2 linked regions of the Canis lupus familiaris genome follow. The protein of the gene in region 1 interacts with the protein of each later gene in a biochemical or structural test. Links are inferred from orthologs where the notes say so. Each region holds a gene or a part of one and is shown on either strand. Other genes may lie near its edges.

Region 1 (4,430 bases):
GTAGGTAAGGCACTCAACCCAAAGAAATAACCTGCCTGCTAATCTCCATTCAGACTCAGCTTCCTAAGAGCCCAGCCAGTGGCAGATATAACATCCAACAGAGCTCTGGGATTCTTTCTCATTGAAGTGCAGATGAAACCCAAGTAGAGGGGCACTTGGGTGGCTCAGTGGTAGAGCATCTGCCTTTGGCTCAGGGCTTGATCCTGGGGTCCTAGGATCAAGTCCCACGTCGGGCTCTCCCCAGGGAGCCTGCTTCTCCCTCTGCCTATGTCTCTGCCTCTCTTGTCTCTCATGAATAAATAAATAAAATCTTAAAAAAAAAAAAAAAAAGAAAGAAAGAAACCCACATAGACCTGGAAGGTATGGTTTGACCAAAATCCTTTTTTATATTTTTTAATTTTTTCCCAATCGTAAAATCCTTTTTTTTATCAAGAAATTTTCAAAGTTTTTAGAATGTAATGTGGTTAGTCTAATGCCACAAATAAAGGTGAGGAGGAGGTCCCAAATTTAACAAAAGAATTCAGTGGGTCTGTTAAGAGGGAAAAAAGAAATTTCATTTTTATTTTCAATAACCTCTGGCTGGTATGTAGTATTTCCTGTCATTATGAATGCAGGCAACAAAGCCTAGTGGTAACTCTTAATAACCTTGCCACAAATAGAAAATCACAGGTATTCTCACACCACATTTTAGTCTCGCAGCACCTGTCTTCAAATGTTGTTTACTGTCCTCCTGATCTTGAAAATTCAGTAATTATCTGACTACCACCTCCCACTGGACTCACGGTTACACCTTACTATTTAATAATGGGTAAAGATAAGCACATATGTTACTTCAGACAGTTTTTGTTTTAATTCTTTGGTTTTTTTTTAAAAAACGTATTTATTCATGAAAGACACAGAGAAAGAAGCATTGACATAGGCAGAAGGAGAAGCAGGCTCCCTGAGGGGAGCCGGATGCGGGACTCGATCCCATGAGCCTGGGATCAGGACTTGAGCCAAAGGCAGAGGCTGAACCACTGAGCCACCCAGGTGCCCTTACTTTTAATATTTTTATCTGGATTTCAACATGATTGATTTCCTGGGCAATCCTGCAGATTTTGGTTTTTGTGATTAAAAATATTCCACGAGGGGGTGTTACAGGCTTCATCAGACTGCCCGGGGGGTCAGGGCAGTCAGCTCACTAGGGCGACCCTGTCCGAGGGTAGAGACTGCAGGGACTCAGTCCTCTCAGGCAAAGCCGGCGAGCTGCACGTGGGGTCGCCGAGGCGCGGTCGGCCCGCGCGGACGGGCACAGGCACTTCACAGGCAGGACAGGCTGCAGCCGCGGTTGCTGTCGCGTCCTCCCCCCACCCCCACTCTGGAATGCGCTCTGCTTTATATGAAACCCACATGGTGCGCGGCTGGGGAAGGCGGCGGCACGGAAGGACCGACAAGCTGACAGCGCCCCAGGCCCGGCCCATCCGGAGAAGGCTCCAGGGCTGACGCCCCCGGGCCCGCTCCCCGCGGGGCCCCCGTGGTGACCCTGCTCCGCCACAGGAACTGGATCGCCAGGTCGCCCTGCCTTCCCAGCGCTAAATTCTGGCCCGAAACGAGCGCCCGGCCGGAGAGCGGACTCACGGCCGAGACACACCCGGAGCCCGCACCCAGGCGCCGGCTGTCGGCGAAATCCCGGGCCCCGCGCGGCTGTGACGGGCTGCTCTGCCCCGAGCGCGGCCCGGACCTGCCCGCCCGGACCTGCCCGCCCGCCCGGCTCGCGGGCCCAAGGGACGGGTCCATAGCGGGACCAGCTGCCGGGGGGGGGGGGGGGGGGGGGGGGGCGGGGGGGACGCCTCCCGCGGTCCCGGGGTCCCGGGGGTGCCGGGGGCCTCGGGGTGCCGGGGGCCTCGGGGTGCTGGGGCCTCGGGGTGCCGGGGTCCCGGGGGTGCCGGCGGCCTCGGGGTGCCGGGGTCCCGGGGGTGTCAGGGGCCTCGGGGTGCTGGGGGCCTCGGGGTGCCGGGGTCCCGGGGGTGTCAGGGGCCTCGGGGTGCCGGGGGCCTCGGGGTGCCGGGGTCCCGGGGGTGCCGGGGGCCTCGGGGTGCTGGGGGTCCTCGGGGTGCCGGGGTCCCGGGGGTGCCGGGGGCCTCGGGGTGCTGGGGGCCTCGGGGTGCTGGGGCCTCGGGGTGCTGGGGGCCTCGGGGTGCCGGGGGCCTCGGGGTGCCGGGGGCCTCGGGATGCTGGGGCCTCGGGGTGCCGGGTCCCGGGGGTGCCGGGGGCCTCGGGGTGCTGGGGGTCCTCGGGGTGCCGGGGTCCCGGGGGTGTCAGGGGCCTCGGGGTGCTGGGGGCCTCGGGGTGCCAGGGGTGCCGGGGGCCTCGGGGTGCTGGGGCTCCCCGGGGCCGGCGGGGCGCGCGCGGAGCACCCCGGCCCGCACCCCTCCTGCTGCAGTGGCCCGGCCGGGGGTCCCCGTCCCCGCCCAGGACGCCCTCGTCCGGCCAGCCCCGCGGGCGCCCCCGCCGGCCCCCGCCTCCGTCCGCCGCCGGCTCGGCCCCACGCCCTCCGCCGCTACAGCCCCCGCCGGCCCCCCGACTCGCACTCACGTAGACCGAATCGATGTCGGATTTGTCGAAGAAGCGGAGCGCCCGCCTCAGCTCCAGGGCTGGGGAGACACGGTCGTCCCCGGGCTCCAGCTGCAGGTCCCCGTGTCCCGGACCGAACGGGAAGAGCTCCTGGCGGCTCAGGCAGCCCCCGGGCCCCACCAGCAGCAGCTGCAGCAGCAGCGCCCGCGTCCACGCAGTCTCGCCCCGGCGCCTCGCGGCCGACATGGTCCCGAACTGGCGTCCCGCAAACCTAGCGGCTCGGCGGACGAGGCCGGGGAGGGCGGAGACGTAACCGGACGCCCCTCGGCTGCCCCTGCACCCGCCTCCCGAGGTTCCCTCCCCGGGAAATAGCGGAGGAGGACCAGGGGAGGTGGGGGTGGGGAGGGGGAGGGGGAGGGCCCGCCCGCCCGGGGCCGGACGCGCCGCCGAGGCCGCCCAATGGGCGGGGGAGGGGGGGAGGGGGGGGAGGGGGGAGGGGCTCGGCCCACCCCCGGGGGAGGGGCTCGGCCCACCCCCGCGGTCCTGGCGCGTCGCCCTGGACCCCGCGGGGGCAGGAGCGCGGGGGCCGCGGGAGAGCCGAGCGCGCGGCTTCGCGCCCCGGGCCTGGGGTCCGGGCCCAGTCGGAGGGCGGGCTGCGTGGAAACGCTCCGCCTTCAGGAGCACAGTCCACCCCGGCGCTGCTCGGCGGCGTCCAGGTCGGACTCGCTGGGTGGGACTCTGGCAGGAAGAGGGGGCAGGTAGGTGCAGGAAATCAGGGAGAGGGGACTGGACCCGACGCGTTCATCTACTCATCCATCCAGATTTTCAGCGTCATTGAGTGAGGTGGAAGTTCGGCCAGACGGGGGGTCCCACCCTCGGAGACACAGTCACGAGTGTATATGATAATCCGGTGTTTGGTGGGGCGGGGCCCCCAAGTGATAAAATGACATTAGGGCTGGAATAATTGGCCAAGGAGAACTTCCGAGGGGGACCCGGGACTCGAACCACGGCTTCTGGAAGGGGATGGAAAAGTCATCAGGAGGCTGGGGAAGGGACGTTCTGGAAACTGGAGCTGTGAGCGGATTCAAGACACAATCTCCCAGTTGAGAATGTGGAACGAGGGCTGTTGGGAGGAAAGCCTTAATACCAAACCTAGGAATTTGAACTCGCTCTTAACGCTCAGAGAACAGCTATTGAGAGTTCCTGACAAAGGGCGATAAGGCATGTAGCTGGTGTCCTAAGTAATGGGTTGATCATTAATTTGGCATTCATTGGGAGGTCATCAGAGGGCTATTGAAAGGGAAAACAGGGGTGAGGGGTAGTGAGAATGGAAAAGGTGGATGGATATTGAGAAGAATTGGACCTAAGAGGCATTACAATGAAAGAAGGAATGAGACTTGATTATGAATCTGATATGGGGGTTAGGGAGAGAAGTTAGAATTGGGTGTAAGGTTTTGAGCCTGCAGGATTGCAAAACAGGGCTGCCTTTTGAAGTCAGGGACAGTGGGTGTTGGATATGTGCTTGCTATCAGACCTCTTAACCTAGAGAGGTCAACACGGGGCATTTCTGTTGCCTGTCACCAGCTAAAATGAAAGACCTAGGACGCAATTCGAAATAATTCTCACAGTAAACAGCAAATTCAATATAATATTTAAGGAGCAGGAGTCCTGAACCAATAGAAAACATAAAAAGCAAATGACATCCACCCTCTGAACAGAAAGTCTTTGATCATTCTGGATGTCTTTTTCTTTTAAATTCATTAGCTGTCACAGAAAACACTACATTTCTACAAGGTATCAGTTCGTTTTGCAACCACGATAACCCTAGGAGAGAGACCATCCCCATTTTCCTGAAGAGGGGCACAGAGATCCAGAGA
Region 2 (4,359 bases), on another chromosome or scaffold:
TCGGACACACTGAGTCTGAGGTGCCTATGGGACATCTGAGTGGAGATTTCTAGTAGCAGAAAAAGAAGCTCAGAGCAGAAGTGGGGGCTAGAGGTTTTATTTGCACTCCAGGACATTTCCTACCAGCTGGGGGACACCTTCCCCCAAGGCGCCTCACCCCAGTCTTCCGGATGCCTGGAGACAGGAGGAGGCAGGAGACCCGAGTATTGCAACATCCTGAGGTGATTTATAGGGAAAACGTCTTGTGTGTTTGTTTCTCAGCACTGCCTTCCAAGAGCGAATCTAAAACCCCACATTCTGATCCTCAGTGTAATTTCCAGTCATTCCCACCGACAACATTTGGTTCTTATTACCGAAAGATACTCACACAGATGTAGCATTAGAATCTTGGCTCTGATGGGTGAAGAAAACAAGATAATCGAGAGTCTTGCAGCAACCCTCAGACATTTACGATTCCAAGAAATGGTTGTTGGATCACGCCTCCAGAATGGCCATTTTCGGTGAGATTCTGCGTGGAAGACAGCCAGCCACTCGGGAAATTTCAGCCGGTCTGTCTGAGCTTGTACCCGGAGGCCCCTCGACGGTGAGTCCCGTAGGGACAAGGGCCTGGGCATTGTCTCTTGGCGTCCCCAGCCAGGCACACGGACAGTACTCCCTGAGGACCTGCTGACCGAGAAAAGGAACAACTGAGCCTCACAAGTCAGGACAAGCTAGTTTTTCTCATTTGACATTTCCTTCCAAAGGTTTCAAGGGCTTCTTAAAAGGAGAGGTGGCTTCTCTGAGACAGAGATGGAAAAGTGTTTACAGAGTTTTGAAATTGGATGGAGAACTTTCTCCTTGCCTTGGTCAAAATCTATAATATTCAATGATTTGGGCCCTTTCATTATACGTTATACATTACTGGTATAGCGCTCGCTCACGAACCCTGGATATCCCCCAGCGTATTTTTAAGGATTTATTTTTATTTTAGGGAGAGAGTGAGAGCGAGTGCAAGAGCTGGGGGAGGGGCAGTAGGAGAGACTCTCAAGCAGACCCCCTCCTGAGCGTGGAGCCCAGCGTGGGGCTCGATCCCAGGACCCTGAGATCATGACCTGAGCTGAAACCAAGAGTCTGACACTTAACCAACCGAGCCACCCAGGCGCCTTCCCATCCTCTTTTTCAAAGATTTATTTATTTTTATTTGAGAGAGAGAGAGAGAGAGACACTAGTCAAGTATATCCTTACATAATAATAGCTAACATTTATGACGTTTATCCTATGTGCCAAGCACTTTAGTGACCCATCTCTTTTAGTTCCCACAATTCTGGGCCAATGATATGCTTATTATCTCTATTTTATAGATGTGGAAACGGGCCTTGGAAGGTCATTTTTCCAAGGGCACATGGGTTGCAAGAGGCAGAGCTGCTATTTGAGCCCCAGGAATGTGACTCTGCAGCCCACGTACCCACAGTTTCCGACTGCTTCTGTGTGCCAATGATAAGCCACAGGTGGTGGGATGACGCCTCCAGGGACATTCATCCGCTTACTCCTCTTGGCAACTCTGACAGATAGGTCAGTGCTATGATCCCATTTTGCAGCTGGGGAAACTGAGCCTCGCAGAGATAAAGCCACTTGTGTGAAGTCACGTGAAATGACAGAGCCTGAACCCGCATCCAAGGGACAGCAGTGTGCACCTTTGTCTTCCCACAGGCCCCAGGTCTCCACACTGGACCCCATGACTTCACAGGGGTCCTGTCACACAACAGGTGTCTCCATCCAGCTCCCCCAGGGTGTGCAGGCTGACGGGGGAGGGCCTCAGCCCCGGGAACCCCCAGGACCCTCTGGGGCCCCAGTGCAATTGTGGACGAGCCAGGCATGGCTCAGGGAGCCCTGGAGAGAAGCAAAAGAAATCCGGCTATGGGGATGCTGGGTGGCTCAGCAGTTGAGAGTCTGCCTTCAGCTCTGGGAGTGATCCTGGAGACACGGGATCGAGTCCCACATGGGGCTCCCTGCATGGAGCCTGCTTCTCCCTCTGCCTGTGTCTCTGCCTCTCTGTGTGTGTGTGTGTGTGTCTCATAAATAAATAAATAAATAAATAAATAAATAAATAAATAAATAAATATATAAATAAAATCTTAAAGAAAGAAAGAAAGAAAACGGGCTAGTGTAGCTAATTCTGCACCGAGGAAACCCCTAACCAAACACCGATGCCTTCCTATGTCAGTGGGGACACCTCCCCACCCCGTCTCATGCACGCTTCCATATGGAAGGAATCAGGAGTCTGATTGAATTCTGTCCCCCTTCTGGGGCTTGCTTGCCTGGCGGGACTGAGTCAAGATCAGGAAAACCTCTCTCTTCCCCAGTGATGCTTCTGTGACCACACAGCTCCGTGACCCCCTGACCCCAGGACCTACCCCTTAGCCTGCCAACTTGCAGCCCAGGAGAGAGAACTGGGCCCCAAGAGCCTCAAGTCATCTGGGATGCTGCCAGCTGTGGGGCAAGCCCCGGAGCCCATTCTTGCCTGGTAGTCAATGGATCCAGGAGTGACGGGATCCTGCATGGACCCCTGCCTGGACCAGCCAAGCAAGCAGGCTTTTCTCCAATTCAGGATGGAGAGCAGGTCTCTGCCTGTGTCGCTGCCTTTCTCTGTGTGTCTCTCATGGGTAAATAAATAAAATCTTAAAAAAAAAATAAAAAGAAGCAGATAACCTTCCCCATGTCTGCAGCATTATCTGGCTCCAGGCCACCATCACCCCCACTTGGATAATTCCTGTGGGCTCCCCTCCTGTCCTCTGCTTCATCTCTGTTTCCTTCCCACACACCAGTCTTACCGCAGCAGCCAGAGTTGTCTCCACATGCAAGTCAAATTGCACCATGCTCAAAATCCTCCAAATCACCAGTCTTACTCCCAGGGAACATTAAAATCCTTGCAAAGGCCTGTAGGCTCCTCCCTTCTCCCTTTCCCCCCACTCCTACACTGACTCAGCTCCAGCCACACTAGCCTCCTAGAACTCCCAAGCGTTGTCCCTCCCCAGGACCTTTGCATCTGATGTCCCCTCTGTCTGGAGAGGCTTTGGCCCTCATGCCCTCAGCTTCTCATTTCTACATCTCCTCCTCGCCAAAGCTTTCCCTGGCATAGTGGACACTGGGATGCATGGCCCAGGTTCCTCTTCAGGAATGGAAGACCTGATCCCTGGCTGCTCTTGCCCCCTTCGAGAATTGCCTCAGCTGAGGAAGGCCACGTCTCCTTCCAGGGGCAGGCTTGTCCAACAGCTGATCCACACAAAGTATAAAGGCCTAATTTTAGACGTTTCTGAAGGCTCGTCCATGTCCCGAGCTCCATGTGGGGCTGGCTGATGTCTTTGTCGGGCCTTGTCACAGCTCAGCTTCTCCCCCTGCCCAATCCTGTCTTCTCCCCCTCCTTCCACACATACTGATCCCAACCGCCCAGCCTGAGTAACCCCTGTGCACTAATGTCCTCATCAGTCTGCTTCCCAGGGCATCAGTGACACCAGGCACCCTACCGAAAAGTACAGAATGCCTCCTCAAACACATGCTCACTAACCCCCTTTCTCCGCTCATTAGTGCTCATCCCTACCCTCACTCACACATTTACTTGTTCATCTTATTCATTGTCCGTCCTCCCGCCCAAATGTGAGCCCCACAAGGACAGGCCTATGTGTTCTTTTGTTTTAATTTCACTGCTTAGGACAATATCTAGCACTATTAGCACCCCCTCAAAGTTTGTTGAATGAATGAGTGACAGGCCGTGCTGTCCTTGACTTGCGGACTCTGACACTGTGAGTCAGTGTAATTAGTTTGGGGAACCTGATTTCCAGATCTTGACAACTTGCTACCAGTAAATCCCATTTTGCTGCACTCCGGATTGTGTGGGTCCCGATTCTCACCCTTCTCATCTGACCACCTGAGGAGTGTATTTTTTTGTAGAGCTTCCATCCACATCATCGTGGAAAATGTTGGATAAATCAAAGTGGCTTTTGTGGCCATTTTCTTGGTGGCGTTCATGTCCACTTGAGTTGATCTTGTCCATGTGTCTGTTTGCTTGTGTACTTCCGCCCCTCTTACCTGCGTGTCTTGTTCATTGCTGCAGCCCAGGGTCCACCACCACATCTGGCACCTTATGGACCTCTTGTGGTTGGCCTCATCACCACCTCATCACCTACTCGGCAGGTGGGTGTCATGTTCCCCCCACCAAGGCTGGCTGGTCACACTCTTTGACACCTTGGGATGCCTCCCTGGTACCGCTCTGGGTCATGCTCCCTGGTGTTCCCCATGCCCATGAGTACACTGGTCCTTGGACCCCTGGCGCCCTTGCCTATCTCTCTAACAGAAGTCCCATGGAACTGAGCCACAGCTCTC

Evidence for each region.
Region 2: the proteins of NID1 (region 1) and FBLN1 form a complex in vitro, tested with the Homo sapiens proteins (3 studies listed by BioGRID). The link is inferred for Canis lupus familiaris from reciprocal best matches to the Homo sapiens genes NID1 and FBLN1.

What each region holds. Positions count from the first base shown.
Region 1 is NC_049225.1:4,305,334-4,309,763, reverse strand, and holds the start of NID1 (nidogen-1), read right to left. Parts: upstream 2,927-4,430; 5' UTR 2,800-2,926; coding exon 2,575-2,799; intron 1-2,574. UniProt on the Homo sapiens protein: Sulfated glycoprotein widely distributed in basement membranes and tightly associated with laminin. Also binds to collagen IV and perlecan. It probably has a role in cell-extracellular matrix interactions.
Region 2 is NC_049231.1:21,559,330-21,563,688, forward strand, and holds the start of FBLN1 (fibulin-1), read right to left. Parts: upstream 2,852-4,359; 5' UTR 2,837-2,851; coding exon 2,811-2,836; intron 667-2,810; coding exon 368-666; intron 1-367. UniProt on the Homo sapiens protein: Incorporated into fibronectin-containing matrix fibers. May play a role in cell adhesion and migration along protein fibers within the extracellular matrix (ECM).